4 linked regions of the Coturnix japonica genome follow. The protein of the gene in region 3 purifies or fractionates together with the protein of the main gene of each other region. This does not show direct contact. Links are inferred from orthologs where the notes say so. Each region holds a gene or a part of one and is shown on either strand. Other genes may lie near its edges. The genes, in order: CEP350, PPP2CB, CEP43 and PPP2R3C.

The links.
Region 1: the proteins of CEP43 (region 3) and CEP350 purify together in Homo sapiens (affinity purification with mass spectrometry; 6 studies listed by BioGRID and IntAct, counting the BioPlex papers as one, with this or other methods). This does not show direct contact. The link is inferred for Coturnix japonica from reciprocal best matches to the Homo sapiens genes CEP43 and CEP350.
Region 2: the proteins of CEP43 (region 3) and PPP2CB purify together in Homo sapiens (affinity purification with mass spectrometry; 4 studies listed by BioGRID and IntAct, counting the BioPlex papers as one, with this or other methods). This does not show direct contact. The link is inferred for Coturnix japonica from reciprocal best matches to the Homo sapiens genes CEP43 and PPP2CB.
Region 4: the proteins of CEP43 (region 3) and PPP2R3C purify together in Homo sapiens (affinity purification with mass spectrometry; 3 studies listed by BioGRID and IntAct, counting the BioPlex papers as one, with this or other methods). This does not show direct contact. The link is inferred for Coturnix japonica from reciprocal best matches to the Homo sapiens genes CEP43 and PPP2R3C.

What each region holds. Positions count from the first base shown.
Region 1 is NC_029523.1:5,670,163-5,673,725, reverse strand, and holds part of CEP350 (centrosome-associated protein 350), read right to left. Parts: intron 3,001-3,563; 5' UTR 2,991-3,000; coding exon 2,915-2,990; intron 1,420-2,914; coding exon 1,388-1,419; intron 985-1,387; coding exon 870-984; intron 228-869; coding exon 95-227; intron 1-94. UniProt on the Homo sapiens protein: Plays an essential role in centriole growth by stabilizing a procentriolar seed composed of at least, SASS6 and CPAP. Required for anchoring microtubules to the centrosomes and for the integrity of the microtubule network.
Region 2 is NC_029519.1:30,568,926-30,573,218, forward strand, and holds the start of PPP2CB (serine/threonine-protein phosphatase 2A catalytic subunit beta isoform), read right to left. Parts: upstream 2,842-4,293; 5' UTR 2,704-2,841; coding exon 2,602-2,703; exon of another isoform or gene 1,414-2,601; intron 779-1,413; exon of another isoform or gene 1-778.
Region 3 is NC_029518.1:38,164,661-38,169,020, forward strand, and holds the start of CEP43 (FGFR1 oncogene partner), read right to left. Parts: upstream 2,832-4,360; 5' UTR 2,631-2,831; coding exon 2,541-2,630; intron 1-2,540. UniProt on the Homo sapiens protein: Required for anchoring microtubules to the centrosomes. Required for ciliation.
Region 4 is NC_029520.1:32,708,458-32,712,020, forward strand, and holds part of PPP2R3C (serine/threonine-protein phosphatase 2A regulatory subunit B'' subunit gamma), read right to left. Parts: intron 3,288-3,563; coding exon 3,151-3,287; intron 1,465-3,150; coding exon 1,327-1,464; intron 226-1,326; coding exon 166-225; intron 1-165. UniProt on the Homo sapiens protein: May regulate MCM3AP phosphorylation through phosphatase recruitment. May act as a negative regulator of ABCB1 expression and function through the dephosphorylation of ABCB1 by TFPI2/PPP2R3C complex.

The sequences.
Region 1 (3,563 bases), on a different chromosome or scaffold from region 3:
GGAAAAATACATTTGGGAATCACTATCAAACAATACCAGTATTAGCTTTATTTTTATTTGAGTATATTTTTAACAGTCAGTTGTTCCAGCTAACCTGTATGAAGCCAATGGTTCACGAAATTCCACCCGGCTGCTCTTTTTCACATTGCTTTCAAGGGTTGTTGCTCGAAGAGGACTGCGTGAGGATTTCTCCTTGCCTGATTTAGTTTGGCTGGAAGACCGGGAAGCTGAAACAGAAACCAGAGAACCCTTTATATATTTAACTCTCCAGAAGGAGAAAGCTCTTGGAGCTGAATGAGTAAGCAACACAGTTTTGGGGAGTTCAAGCAGCACTCCAAAAGAAAATGTAAAGTTCTCCCTTTCTTTTACTACAGTCTGATTGCAGTAACTAGGAGCATGCTTAGCAAGCGCTCCCTTTCAACACAACCCTTTCTATGATTCTATAATTTAACAAGAGACAATAATGCTTAAACATTAATTAGATGGAATTAAACCTATGTACGCTGTGTTGCCACTCAAAGTTGATCTACTACACGCACTGAAGAGTAAGTAGAGCATATACAATATAGGCATATACAATTGTTATCAAAACCCCAATAAAACAAGCTATCAAGATGAGATAAGCACTGATCACTCATAACGATAGGCAAGCCCTGTCATTCATTCTAGCCATACTGCAAATTTTAATTCCCAAGCTAAGAGAAGAAAATACTAGTTTATTCTGCACAATTAGTTTCTCATCAGTAGAGATCATTAGCAGAAGACACCCTGGACACTTGAAGGTTGGGTTGGTGGAGGAAAAGAATAAGGCTTTCCAGACTGCAGTGGCTTCACCCTGCATCGCATTCTACGCCATACATAATACATACCTTTCCTGCCTACTTTCCTGCTGGTACTACCAGAGGGCTTCTTGGCATCCATGACAGAATTAAACACAGCTGTGCTGGTGGGAGCTATTTCCAATTTGTTCTCTATATGACGTAGCTAGAATTTGAAGATTATGCATATTAAAATATTGCTTTCAAGTTTTTTCCCCACGTGTCATTTTTCCCCTCATTTTCATAAAGAATAAAAACCGTGGGCCAATAGCAACTTCACAATAGTTGTGTTGAAAAACTAGAGAGCTTTTGACCAGAAAAGTGGAAGATTATTAGGATTTGTTTAAAAAGATCATCTGAATTATGCTCTGTTATATAGATATGTTTCCATAAGTAAGCTGTTGTGAATAAATTAATGGCAATACATAATGATACAGGACTGTTCAACATGCATGCACTCCACAATCTCTTGCTTCATTTTCAACTTGTCTAACAGCAAACCACTGAACAAAGTAATATTTTCATTCCAACTATTCTAATTTGCAAAGCAGTTAAGAACGAGTACTTACAGCAGCCTTAGTCTGAGAAAGGGCAGTCCATCCTGCAGTTGGATCACGTATAGCAGAAGAAAAGAAATAAGTTACTTATTACTAAATGGAAAATAATGAAAGAAAATGCTGCTTGAGAACAATTTTCATTGGCTCGCTAATTGAGTTCTTTTAATGACTCAATTCCAGCCTGTAAATACCCTCGGTAAGAGGCTGTTATCAGCCATGATTCATCTTAACAGAGCAATAAGATATTTAATGTCAGATTTAATGAGTTCACTAAGTTACGCTGAATGCATTACAAGACTTGAAACCAGATCTACCACACATTATAGAAGATAACAAAGCCAGTTATCTACCCCAATACAAATATCTTAGATGAAGTAATGTTCATGAAGAGCAAAGCACAAGGCACTAATCAACTTCAGCCTTTTAATCCAAATAGCATGAGCTCTGCACAAAGCCCATGTCAGCAGGATACAGCAGTGCTTTCCTCTACAATTATTTACTTCTTCAGTTCACTTCTTTCTTTAAGAAATTATATATATATATAATTAAATGTGTGTGTGTGTGTGTGTGTTTGTATATATATATGTGTAATTACTTACAAACACAACGTCCAAAAACTTTAAGTGGATCAGAGCCATGGAGGACAGAAGTATTAAGAAATCTTAAATATATATACATTTTCCTTACAGTAAAAAAGCTGCTGATACCATCTAGGGCAAGATAAAACGATGCTAAGGAACAGGAGGGATAAGAAAGTAAGACAAAAATGACTGCTCTGCCTTTGAGAGATGGTGTTTCATGTCTACAGAGCCCCTCAGTTTCATAATGTACATAACTTGAAAAGAAACTGAATGTATCACAGGAGACAATCAATAATAATGTCCTCTTGTAGATAAAATATTCATCTGTACCTACTTTGAAATTTCTGGAGTCCAGTTTGGTCACAGTGAGGATCATATGCCTGATTGTGAACCACAGACTTAGCATGTGACTCAGCTGCTCTACCAGATGAGAGCCTTCTTCCTCTTAGGGATGTAATATACTTTTTTTTCCCCCCCCCTTTCAATTACAGACAAAATCACAACAGTAAAAGGTTCATTGGATTCCTCCAGCTCTAGGCAACTTAAGTGCTGCCAGGGATGATCTACTGCTTCTACTCAACAGTCTGCAGCTCTTCACCGCTTTGGAACTGAGCTAGAGGCAAGAGTAACTGCTTATCAGATGCTTCTTTCAGGAGCGTACAGTTCCCAACCTCTGTTCCTGCACTGTTCCCCCTCTACAACATTGGAAAAATAAATCTGTCTCTATGCCATCTTGGCAGCCACACCACAGGCTGGCAATTCCCAGCGCAGATCAGCAAATACTCTGCAGATCACAGTACCAAACTGCTACCTCTGCAGAAAATAAGTCATATAATACATGGTCTTAGCTCCCACAGTGAGGCAGAAGAATGCTGTCTATAAAAGCTCCATGAAGTTTCAAAGAAGCCATGATAAAAGACTTTTTACAGCAAAGAAATACAGTAGAGAGAGTCCATACCTCCAGTCGAATCCTTGGCTTGGTTATGCCTCAGATTCTGCTGAGGCACCTCACTGGACTTGTTGGTCCACATCATGTCAATTTATCTACAAAAAAATACATATAATCACATAAAAATTAAATAAATTGCATGCTAAAGGTAGTAAGACCTTGATCACTGGGATGAAATCACCATCATCAGGCTTGTAGCACCAAGAGAAACATGACAAAACACACTCAGTATATACATTTAGCATAAGAGAACTTGCAACCGTTTCTTAAGGGAACTCATTAACCCTCTCCAAGTAATTACTTGAGATTTACACTTATCCACTGAGTTACCAACATATACAGTGGATCTCAATCTGGGACTAGAATTGTCATCTCTATCAACACAGATATATACAGCTTCTTTTATGATGCCCTTGAAAACACAGTGTAGTGATATTCTCTATCTATTCCTAGATTATTTTAAGAAGATCAGGCTGAAAAAAGAAAAGAAGCATGAAACTATTTGTTCTTGTTGGCAACCCAGAACCTGAGTGGAGCAGATCACAAGTCAGACTGAAACAGTAAGCCCAATTTTAATATCAAATAGATATTAAACAAGCACTGGTTTCCACTCATAACGCCATGTGTAAGTGTAAAGGCTGGCTTTCCAGGTGTCCCC
Region 2 (4,293 bases), on a different chromosome or scaffold from region 3:
ACTTGACTTGAATCTCAAATCAAGCAGCATTTAAAGCTTTTCACGTCCAACCTTGAGAGCAGTTCCTGTTAAAATGAATCCACCTCCTCAGTCTTTCAGCCTGGCTGTAGCTGCTCAAAGTGCAGGTAATGAGGGGCAGCAGTACCCACGCGGGATCAAAAGGAGTTCCATGCATTAAGTGCTACCCTTCTGTCAGTACCCAAATTCAAAGGCAGCACAACCACGGATACAAAACGTGCCACTGCACTTCTGATTAAGTGCAGACAGCATCCAAGACTGAGCTCTAAAGATTTTCTCACTGCCTATTTAATGGGGGAAAAAAAAAAAAGGCTTTTAACAACCTTCATCTACTCAGATGATCTACAATAATAAAGTTAAACAGTAAGAGATGCAAGAAGCCTAATGTTCATTTCCCTGATGGGCTGGAAACATTTCTGGTGCCTGGAAGCTCCAGTAGTGACAATAATTGTTTGTTTTTCTATTACATACTAAATATCAGCATGACTTTAGTTTTCATTTTAAGAGCAGCAGAACAGGAAGTGTTTTAATGTTATCACCAGATGACATCTTGATTAATTCTACAAAGACTCTAAGATGGATTAGCTGCCAGTTATGTCATAACCAGGCAGATCAATTTACAGTGATTCTACAGGTGCAATTATCAAAAGCTTTCTGAGAGAAGAACAGCTGCTATCCCCTGTGTGAGCCAACTATCTCCAGTCCTTCCCTCCTCACTGTCTGTGAGGCCAGCAAGTGAAACCAAGAACGATACACACAGGTAAGTCTGGGACTCAATTTGGTTTTGTATCCCATGCTTTCATAGAAAACTTTCAGAGTATTTTTTTTATTTTATTTCCCCCCCGCCCCCCCATTTTAACCACCTAATACTATTACTAATTTAAAAACTAAAGCAAGAGTTACTATTGCATATGACCAGAAAGGTTGTTAAGGGTTTCTCCAAGTATTATCTTGGGGAAGCAACCCAAGCTTTCTGACAGCGCTGCAGATCAGTTACCAACGCTACCTGAAAACCAGATGCTCCAATAGCTTACATTTATTTCCGAGCAAACATGCTGTGCCTCACAGGTTCGCATGGTTCACATCCTACCCGTCATTTTGGAGGACTGACATTCCTTTCACCTGCAGCTGTGCTCTCCACTTGGCACCTCTCCCTGCTTTGCAGCCACTGACTGCAATACAACCTACTGATCATACCATCCAGCTTCTGAAAGCACAGCAGCCACAGCTCCTTCTTTGGCTTTGCTGTTAATTAAGAAGGGAATTATTACTATTATTATTATTATTATTATTATTATTATTATTATTATTATTATTATTATTATTTAGCAGCTTGGTGGTTGGTGCAGCAGTTCAGAACTCTTGCTGTTCTGAACTGCAAATCAATTCTTTCAGGCTCATCAGCTGGACTTCAAACGACAGCACAGCTACAAGAAGCTCACTCTTTTGAAGACATCTACATCTCAAGGCTCTTCAATTGCTCCCTGCTGCAGCACCAGCCCTTCTCACAATTGTCCCAGCTTGGTGAGTGCAGAAAAAGCCATAAAGCAAATGGGCAGTTACAGCGTGGGTAAAAAAACAGAATGGGAGAAACAGGCCAGTGTGCAGCCAGACAATCCAGGACTACTAGTAAAAGTGTATGTCAGGCAGCCACGGCTTTGACTTCTAACAAATATCTGCCTGTGACACTCAGCTCCTACCTTTTGAAGGGCACTCCTAGCATGCTATAAGGCGGTGGTGCAGGCTCTCTCTACTGTTCAAACCTATTGCTGCGGTGGCCTACTGAAGACTTGGGGGGAAAAGAAAAAAGAAATAGTTCCATCTTCTGAAAGCTGCCACTGGCCAGAATGCCAGGAACAGGCACCACAACAGATCACCTGCTTCTGCAAGAGCTCAGTGAGACACAGGTAATGACAACACAAAACCTAGCTCGCTATCAGCAATACAAACAGTACAGGGACCAATGAACTAGCTGTCAGGCACATGAGGCAGAGCAGTTACCAGCTGATCCAGTGCACGGCAATAGTCCCTGCTGTCACTGAGGTACATAGAGAACACAATCTGAGCTGCTGTGCTGAGCCCACCTCAGCTCCTTGGCCTTGTCACAGCTCGTACATTCAAGCAGATCCTAGCTCAGCTATACACTGCAGTATGGATGGTTATGCTCGCACACAGGCATTTAACTTCTCAGACAAAAGCCACCCAAACCTGTCTCCTGACAGGAGAAAAGGCTCTTTGCGGCAAACTATATTACCTCTCCAACCACTTCCTGCTCTATCCCGGCCTCCCTCCCCACAACGTAGGCCTGTCTTTAAGGCGGCAGCACAGCCCACCCGCTGCCCCTCATCACACGTCAGGGCTTTCCCCACGGCTGCGGGCCGACGGCCGCGCTCCGGCTCGGCGCCGTTCTACAGCCGGCGCTTCTCGCAGTGATCCGCCATGCGGGCAGCGCCGGGCGGGCCACGACGGCCGGCCCCGAGGCACAGCCGAGCCCCCTCCAGCCGGCCGCAGCTCCAGGCCTCGCACGGCCATCTTCGGCACGGCCGGCCCCAGCGCCGGGCCGCCTCTCCCCGCCTCACTCACCTTCTCGCAGAGGCTGCGGACCTGGCTCTCGCTCAGCTGCCGGCACTCGTTCAGCTGCTCGATCCACTGGTCCAGCTCCTTGGCGAAGCTCTTCTCCTCCATGGCGGCGCTGCCGGCCGGGGCCGGGCCCCCCCCGCACTGGGCGCCCGCGAGGCCCGGTCCCGCCTGAGGCTGCCGGCGCAACGGCGGGGGCGCGCGGCCTGCTGCGCTCCCGGAATGGCGGCCCCCGGCCCTGCGCACTTCCGTCTGCCGCCGCCCCCGCCCGCGCTTCCGCTCCGGCACTGCGCGTGCGCGGCGCCTCGCGACGGGCGTAACGGTCCGTCCCTCAGGTGGAGCTGGGAGTCAAAGGGGTTAGAGCGCTGTGCGCCTATAGCGAGCTGTGCAACTGAAAGTGCGTTCAGCAGAGTCAAAGGGAGTCATGTATTTACACAAATACAGTTTGTTTAGTTGCTCCTAAAAGTCCTCTGCCATTCTGTACTCATAAATGATGCCTTTTGTGAGCTGTGAACAGCTTGGAAGACTCAGCCAAGAGAGCCCCTGGACCGCTGAAACCAACTGGGACTCTCCCACTATCTCACCAAAAGGGAGCCCTGAGGGAATTCTACTTCTCAGTCTCGTAAATTAAGACTTAAGCAACCAGATCCATAAAGCATTTGTAATGCTTCCACCTGGTCCTTGGTGAGGACACCAGGGCGGTGTAACTTCAGCCCCACTGTGTTATGCACCTGGAAGATGTTTTCCACCTGGACCGGATGGCTCCACGCAGTGCTGAGGTTGATGCTGACGTGCTGGAAAGAGGTATGTGCCTAAGAGAAGTCACCCAACCCTCCACAGGGTCCTGCTGGTGTGGTATTCACTCCAGCGCTCCTATATCTCCTCCCTGCATATCACCCGTGCACAGCACAGCCCTCACATTCACCCCCCATGCTGCATGGGCTCTCCCTGGTACCCCTAGCACCTGACACAGTCTTGCACACCTCTTCTGCAGCGGCTCTGCTGAGTCCCAGCACACTTGTGGGAGAGGCAGTATTGGGTGGTTGCACTTGATGGGGCACAATACATCATCTGAGGAAACAAATATACATTATTCAGGGTGGTGTGAGGATGCTTGGCACTCCCAGGAACTGAGCAGAACTTGCTGCCTCCCATTTGAGGCTACAGGGAGGCAGAAATGGGCACTGTTGTTCCTTTAATTTCATCTACTCACAGACTGGATTCTGTACCTGAAGATGCATGGGAAAAAAGGCTTGCAACCACTTGTGAGTGCTGCCTTCCTTTGTACCATCTCTAGTAACCAATGCAAATGCCTTGTTAATGCATGGTACTGAAAAACCAAGACGGTGTTGTCTGCCTTTCTGAGGAGGAAGAAAAGATTTTGCTAGGTCTCCTTCTGTGAACATCATTAGATGTCCACAGCTTTTGGCTGCTGTTTTCAGTGAGTTCATCACAATAAATCATTTCTTTCTAAAATGCAAAACACCAACATCAGAAATTACTTAGCCTCCAGGAAACATTAATAACAGTCTTATCTCTTAACTGTTAAGTATACTGAAATGCAGCGATTCTTCTCTTGTGCACTTACCATTTTGAAGGGTGTAATTATGAAACACTGGTGAAAGAGGACATAAGGTTGAAAAGCCCTGGGGAGAAGATGCGAGAGGCAGATTTATATTCTGGGTCTTGGTTAAAATT
Region 3 (4,360 bases):
GCATGTCTCTAGAGTATTTTACTATAGGAAATAGAAACACACAAGCATAGAGTGATCAAGGTGTCTTGTAAGCAAGCAAACATAGCATCGAGCTGTCTAACCACTAACGATTACTCCAGACTTAGAAACTATAAGCACCTGTATCCAAAGCTTGTACCAAGCTGGAGACTGCAGCTTCATTACCTCTGTCCTGTCACTCCCCAACTGCAAGGTTACTACCCCTAAGAAGAACCAGTAATTTGTACCCTCATTCCTCATCCATTTAAGCGAAAAAAACTTTACCATAGCAGCCTTCATTGGCTAAGTCACTAAACTTGATGGCAGTGTAATTAAAGGAATTATTTTTTTAATAGTATTTTTACTTCATCTCACAACACATTATCAGCCAGCACCGCAGCTATGCAGGGTTTGAATCAAATTAGCAAGAATCAGCTGACCAAAGCATTAACAGTCACGAGACATTCATAATGCTTTTATTCCTCAGATGTGTCGAAACAGCAAGTTCTAAGGATGCTGTAAAATTTCAGGCAGCATAAACCTTTTTTTCCCCCCAGATGGAAAGATACAGATCAAACAAAATAACAAGGGAATGCTATGAAAGCACAGTGGTTGTTTTTCCTTATATGACAACCCAATGAAAGATGTCCATACTCATAGCTGGGGTGTTGGACTAGATTATCTACAGTAGGACTTCTAACCTCATCCATCTTGAAAAATGCCAGTACTCATTTACAAAAACAAAAGAAACAACCATTTGATAACAACAGAGTGTAGCTATGCTTACCTTAGTTTAACAAAAAGACGATGGCTTTGGTAACCCTACTCAAAACACAGTTATGTGAACTCGAACCCTTCATCTCCTTTTGGAATTTAAATAGGGATTATACATTTGAAATGCAAGAGCAACACATTAGTAATGATGGTGCATTGTTGTACAGTATCACAGGGTGACCTCATTGCAGCCTTTCAGTACCTGAAGGGAACTTACACCCAGGAGGGCAGTAAACTCTTCGAAAGGGCTGACAATATCAGGACACGGGGAAATGGTTTTAAGTTAAAAGAGGGAAGATTTAGGTTGGATGTTAGGGGGAAGTTCTTTACTAAGAGAGTGGTTAGGCCCTGGAACAGGCTGCCCAGGGAGGTTGTGGATGCCCCGTCCTTGGAGGTGTTCAAGACCAGGTTGGACGGGGCCCTGGGCAACCTGATCTAGTAAAGGTGTATGTTTGGTGGCCCTGCCAGGCAGGGGGGTTGGAACTACATGATCCTTGAGGTCCCTTCCAACCTGGGTCATTCTGTGATTCTGTGATCACAGGTAGCCAATACTCACTGGGCTTCTAAGTACAGACACAAGGATGTGCTCACTTCCATCAACCATTTCAGCTGTTCATATATTCCTGGAATACCAATCATGATTGTCCACTCATTAAAATGCTTCAAGTAGAATTCTGTGGATAAATGCCACCATTCTTAATTTGAAATCCAAGCTTCTTTTCTCCCCGATCTTACAATGAGATTCAACAGTTCTCATCCCTGATATCTGCGTGGCTCTTTGTTGTATGTAACAGTTATTGCTGAAAGCTTTGAGTGTGAATCCACAGAACCCAATTCTGTACCCTTGCTGACACAAGTCCAGGCTAAAGGCTTGCAAACCAACTACACTTCATCACAGAATCACAGAATGACCCGGGTTGGAAGGGACCTCAAGGATCATGTAGTTCCAACCCCCCTGCCTGGCAGGGCCACCAAACATACACCTTTACTAGATCAGGTTGCCCAGGGCCCCGTCCAACCTGGTCTTGAACACCTCCAAGGACGGGGCATCCACAACCTCCCTGGGCAGCCTGTTCCAGGGCCTAACCACTCTCCTAGTGAAGAACTTCCCCCTAACATCCAACCTAAATCTTCCCTCTTTCAACTTAAAGCCATTTCTCCTAGGAAACAGGGGATCACAACAGTCAATGCTTTTTAATACAGCATTAGTAGGCAGACAGCATACACAGGCCCTTCTTAGGTTCAGCCAATTTCCAAGACACAACTCCACCACCCTACACACCTATGTTTAAACAGCGAGCCTCGAGGCCTCCGGCTTAAGATAACCAAGCTGAAGATAACCAATAGCATCTTTTAGCGTGGAAGAGAAAGGAAATTCTGCGAGCTCCGTCCAGCTCGGCTCGGCGGGTTGGACAGCAGCAGGAAAGCAGCGCAGTGGCTTCGGCAGACACGCTGCACTCAATGCAAGAGAGGGCACAGCCGCCAGGCCGCTCTCCGCCGAGCAGCCCGTAGGCCAGGCCCGCAGCAGCTCTATTTCGCTGGACGCGGCTCCTCGCCAAGCCCCGGCCCGAGCGGGCTATAGGCAGCGCCGGGAGGGCGGGCGCCGCCGCCAGGCCGTGACAGCCGGGTGGGCCTGTACCGGCGCGAGGGGACGCAGCCTGCCGAGCACCCACACGCCCCGAGGTGTAGTAGCAGGGCCGGCACCGGCAGCGCAACCCGCACGGCACCGCGAGAGCGCTGCGCAACGAGGAGAGGCCTTCCCGTCGCACCTTGATTTTATTGAGCACCCCGCTGCTCTCCAGCGTCTGCACCAGCAGGTCCCGCAGCTCCGTGTCCTCCTCCGCCGCTGCCGCCGCCATCTTGTTTCTCCCTGACAACCGCCCAAACCGCGCTATCGGCGGGACGGGCCCGGCAGATTCGCCGCCGCCGCAGGAGGCACACACACACACACAGCGGCTGGTCCGAGGGCACGGGGCGCAGCGGGACAGAGGCTACCTACAAAAGCGAGCCCGGTAAGACGCAGCAGCGCCCCGGCCAACCGGCTCTTCTGCGGCCGCAGCACCGTGGAAACTGCGGCGGCGAACGCGCAACGCAACCGCCACTGGGAGCGGGGCGCGGGAAGTTCAAAGCGGCAGCGGCCGGTGAGATCCGCGACCGTACGCGGCCCTCAGAGCCAAAAGGGCGGGCACTAAGGGACAGCGAGCCGACACTGCCCTGCTGCTGCTGCACGGCCGCATAGGAAGGCTGGGGGGAGTCTAAGATGTGATGCATAGTAAACAGCCGCAATAATTGATTTTGGAATTCATCTATTTACCCCAGGCCGAGCTTTTTCGTAGTTTCACTTGAAAAGATCTAAACGTTTTCATGAAGAACTTCGGAATTTACGGCTATCCAGGGAATGTAAGAAAGAAATGCATGAAATGAGGCGTTGTGGGAAGAGGATCCAATTCTGGAGGACAGGAGTAAACTCTTTGAAAGGGCTGACAATAGCAGGACACGGGGAAATGGTTTTAAGTTAAAAGAGGGAAGATTTAGGTTGGATGCTAGGGGCAAGTTCTTCACTAGGAGAGTGGTTAGGCCCTGGAACAGGCTGCCCAGGGAGGTTGTGGATGCCCCGTCCTTGGAGGTGTTCAAGACCAGGTTGGACGGGGCCCTGGGCAACCTGATCTAGTAAAGGTGTATGTTTGGTGGCCCTGCCAGGCAGGGGGGTTGGAATTACATGATCCTTGAGGTCCCTTCCAACCCGGGTCATTCTGTGATTCTGTGTGTGATTCTGTGACGTGCAGCAGGTGGCAGCAGTTCTGCGGCGATCCCTTAAGACATAGTGAGCTCCACCAGGTGTGATAGTAGGAGTCCTGCAGCTGGAGACAATGACCGTCTTTCACCTCAGCACAAGGTTGAACCCTAGTAAATCCCACAGCACTGCATTTTTATTATTATTTAAAGCAGATAATAGTTCAGTTCCAGCTTCTCAAAGCCCCATCAGAAGCAAGACATAAGTGTAGAAACATACTACCTGCTATTATCTACACCATTTCATTCCTCTGATACAACTCCAGACCTAATAAAGAGATCTAAAAGGTGCTTCGGGATCATTCTTTTTTAATAATATCTTTTGCAAACAGAGACAAAACTCAAAACATTCACCTGACTGTACCATGTGCTTTGTGATAGCACAACATAAATTAACCAGAGAAATAAGAGGCATTACTTTCAGAGCACTCCTCCTATTTCACTATGTTGGCCCATGACATCATTCAGTAGAGGCTGAACGTTCCCACCAACTTTCCATTACGTTTTGTTGCCATGCAACAGGTGGTAGCAGTGGGGCAGTCTGACAAAATGGTGTCTGATATGGAAATGAATACGAAGCAAAGATATGGAACCGAATTCCTCCATGGAGAAGGGAAAAAAAAAGGCACCCAGTGCCATTCATTGATGATTCCTGGGTATTTATGGAGACCAAAAAGTGGATGTGAGAACAGTGAGGTGATGAGCAATCACGACATGAAAGACAAGCCACATTCTGGATGGCTCCCAGAGCTGACCGGGTCCTTTCCCCAGAGGCTCAATCAATGGTTCAGGCTGT
Region 4 (3,563 bases), on a different chromosome or scaffold from region 3:
GCTAAATAGAAAGACATTTTCAAACCCACAAGACACACAAGTCAGATTCACCTCTACTACCCTGCAATTAAATACATATCAACCTCAAAACTACAATACTCTATAGGTAAATTATGAAACGTTTATTCACATATTTCATGTAGTACTCTATTTGGGAATACTGACCTTGACATCCTGAAAAGAAACTGGTTCTTGTCCATGGATTTTCATTTGTTCCTGAATAGCCTAAAAAAGAAAAGTTAGAAATATGCAGTGCAGTGTTCTACTGATACTGTATGATACCTTCTAACATGCTTCTGCTTGTTAAGATGCATTGCTGTGTGACAAGGCATTAATAGAACAGCTTGCAATCGGTTCTCTTTCACACATAAGGCAGTGGTGAGTTAAGGTACAACCAGTGATGTGCATTTCCAAGTCCACAATCCTTAGTATAATAAGAATCCAGCTTCTATTATGACCAACATTTGAGCATTTGGAAGACAGGATATGCAGACACTCATATCACCTATTACTCAAGATAGGAATATATTCAAATCAGGAAATTCATTACTGACATATTCAGGGAGGTACTATTTACAAGGGCATGTAGCAACACAATGAGGGAAAATGGCTTTAAACTGGAAGTGGACCAGATATTAGGAAGAAATTCTTTCCTGTGAGGGTGGTGAGGCACTGGCATGGGCTGCACAGCCAAATTGTGGATGCCCCCTCCTTGGAAGTGCTTGAGGGATGGGGCTTTGAGCACCCTGGTCTAGAGGGAGCTGTCCCTGCCTATAGCAGGGCAGTTGGAACTACATGATCTTAAAGGTGCCTTCCAACCCAAACCACTATATGATTCTAAAAATTGTCAAGTAATATGGAGTATGACACAAGCGAGAAGCTTTTTGCAATGATGACCTGGGATGAAAAATCCCACAGCCTTACAGGCCATTGCTGTATTTCAGCATTTTCCTTTATTGTACCACATTTTAGGATTACAGTGGAAACTAAAAGCATGAGCAACAGTCAACTAGAACTATCATAAGTGATTTTAACAAGTAATCATTACATATATATATAATTTTATTTTTTAAGCAACAACATTTTTTCCTAGATTAAATCAAAACAGTTAATTTCAACTGCAGAAAAACAATGCTGAATGCCTTTTGAATTCTTTCCAAGTTCTGGAATATATTTTTTAGTGTTTTAAATCTTCTTACAAGCAGTTACTGGCTTCCCAGTGGGTACTGGTAATTTAAAGGGACTCCCTGCAGATCTGCATGCAGAAGCACACAGGCTATAACACCATAAACACAGAAAATGGCCTACCTGTATAAAGGGACTTACCCTAAAGAAATAATTAAGGGAAAAGACATTCAGGTATCCTTTGTTCTCAATGTCAAGCAGTTTGAAAATATATTGCAGAGCTGCAGGCTCCTTTCTGTTTTCTAATGCAAGTACAAAGTCCAGGTAGGTTTTATAGTCCTAAAAGTAGATACAATCATGTTTATTACAGTCTTCTTTCTAAATTGATTTTGCAAGCAGGAACATTATAATTGCCAGCTATTTCATTGTAGGGGATCAGTCTATTTTCTGAAAAAGACAAAATAAAATGGAAAATGGCTGCTACCACCAACATGAACAGAAAAGTTAGTTCCTAGTGACTGCTGAGGAGAGGAAATCTTGCCATTTTTAGATGTAAAACAGTATTCCAAACATAAATCCAAATGAAACAGGCTATATATACTTTAAAAAATGTTCATTACATCTTTAGAACACTGAACATACCTAATCAGTTAAGAAAAGCCGTAACAGTTTTCATTAGCACAAATTACAAGTGTTCAGAGGTAATAATCCCAGTATTATCCAAGAGCGAACCATCTGACCAGCTGAAGTACACAATCCTTAGACCAGAGAAGTTGTTTGATAATTTGTGTGGTTGAAGCATTAATAAACCGCACAGATATGTGCCTTCCTTATGTTTTCCTTTGTTGCTTACACCAATTTTTTGTTTCCTGATCAAGCTACAGTGGTGATAATTAAAGACAGAAAGCCTGCAGTCTTTTGTGTGTAACATCCATGTCTACCTTAAACATCAGAGGGTTGTGCTACCACTCAGAAGGACTTCAGCAGGCTGGAGAAACGGGCATCACACTGTGTTCAGAGAGAATACAAAGTGCTGCAAAAAAGGAGGAATAACCACATGCACCAGCACATGCTGGGGGCTAACCAGCCAGAAAGTAGCTTTGCATAGAATAAGCTGAGAGCCTTGATGGGCAACAAAGCTGAATATACATATGCAATGAGCCCTTGAAGCAAAGGCAACTGACAACAGCATTTTGAGCTGCATGAGGAAGAGTTTTACTGGCAAGTCAGCGAAGACAATGATTCTCTGCTTACCACTGGTTAGCCTGCATCTGAGTGCTACTCTCTGTTCTGGACTCTTGAGTGCAAAAGAGGTAAGGAACTATTAAAGCAAGTCAAACAAAGGGAAACTAAGAGGACTTCTAAGCTCAATGATTCAGCGATTCTACAAAAAATTACTAAGTGGGCAGCAATGTTATATAGTAAACTGGAGTTTAGCACATTTTAGAGGTAATTAATCATCTGAAAACAGATGTATTAGAAGTAGTGATACAGTACATAAAGCTTTCAAAATATACAGCACAGATATTTTTCATTTTAACTCTAATTTGGTTAGATTTCTCATGCTTCACAGCTAGGCAAAGTCTGCAATAAAAAAAATACACTACAGTCTTCATGAAGAAATGTACAGATTAGCTGATTAGCAATGTGCATATACATTAGCTGATAGTCCCAAGTGTGCCACTTGCCCTTGTCTCTCTTTCAAGAATTAAATTCCCTCTAAAAACATACATCTATCCTTTCTCAATGTGCACTTTACATATAGAACATACAAGTGGAAGAGAAGCTTTCTCCTGTGCTACCTGGATTCTGTACCATTGCTGCTTTTCAAAATGAGAAAGTTGTCTTCCAACTACACTGCAATCATCCTGATATTAAAAGTTTATTTGCTAATCTAACAAAGACCAACAAAAAGTTACTCTACCTCAAGCTACTCTTTTTGAAAAAGATACCGACTGTTGGACATTTCCCTTATTAATAAGTAAAAACTTCAATACTGTGAACAGAGTAAGATCACGCAATTACCATTTCTCCATCATAAGTTAGGCATTCCTGAAAGACACGGTCCAGGAATATGTTGGTCAGGGTCCCTGTTCCATACCGGGACAGCTCTTCTTTGCTGAGCATGCCATTGTGATCTTTATCAAGGTTTAAGTACTGTCCTAGGAAGGAAACAGATGACAAAATATAGCATCCCTATAGAAACAATAAAGCGTTTCAATGGAGAAGGAAAATTCAGCACATTTAACATTGAATTAATTTTTAACCATAGAAGTTAGTTAAGTGGGAGTAAGCTGGAACCACAAAAATATTCATGGATCATCATAATGAGCAATGGGAATAGTGGGGGTGAAGAAGGGGGTTTCCAAAACTTCAGGCTTCTAATAGCTCCATTGTAAAGTAAGGGCTCAAAAGTAAAGGCTGCTTATACTGGGAAG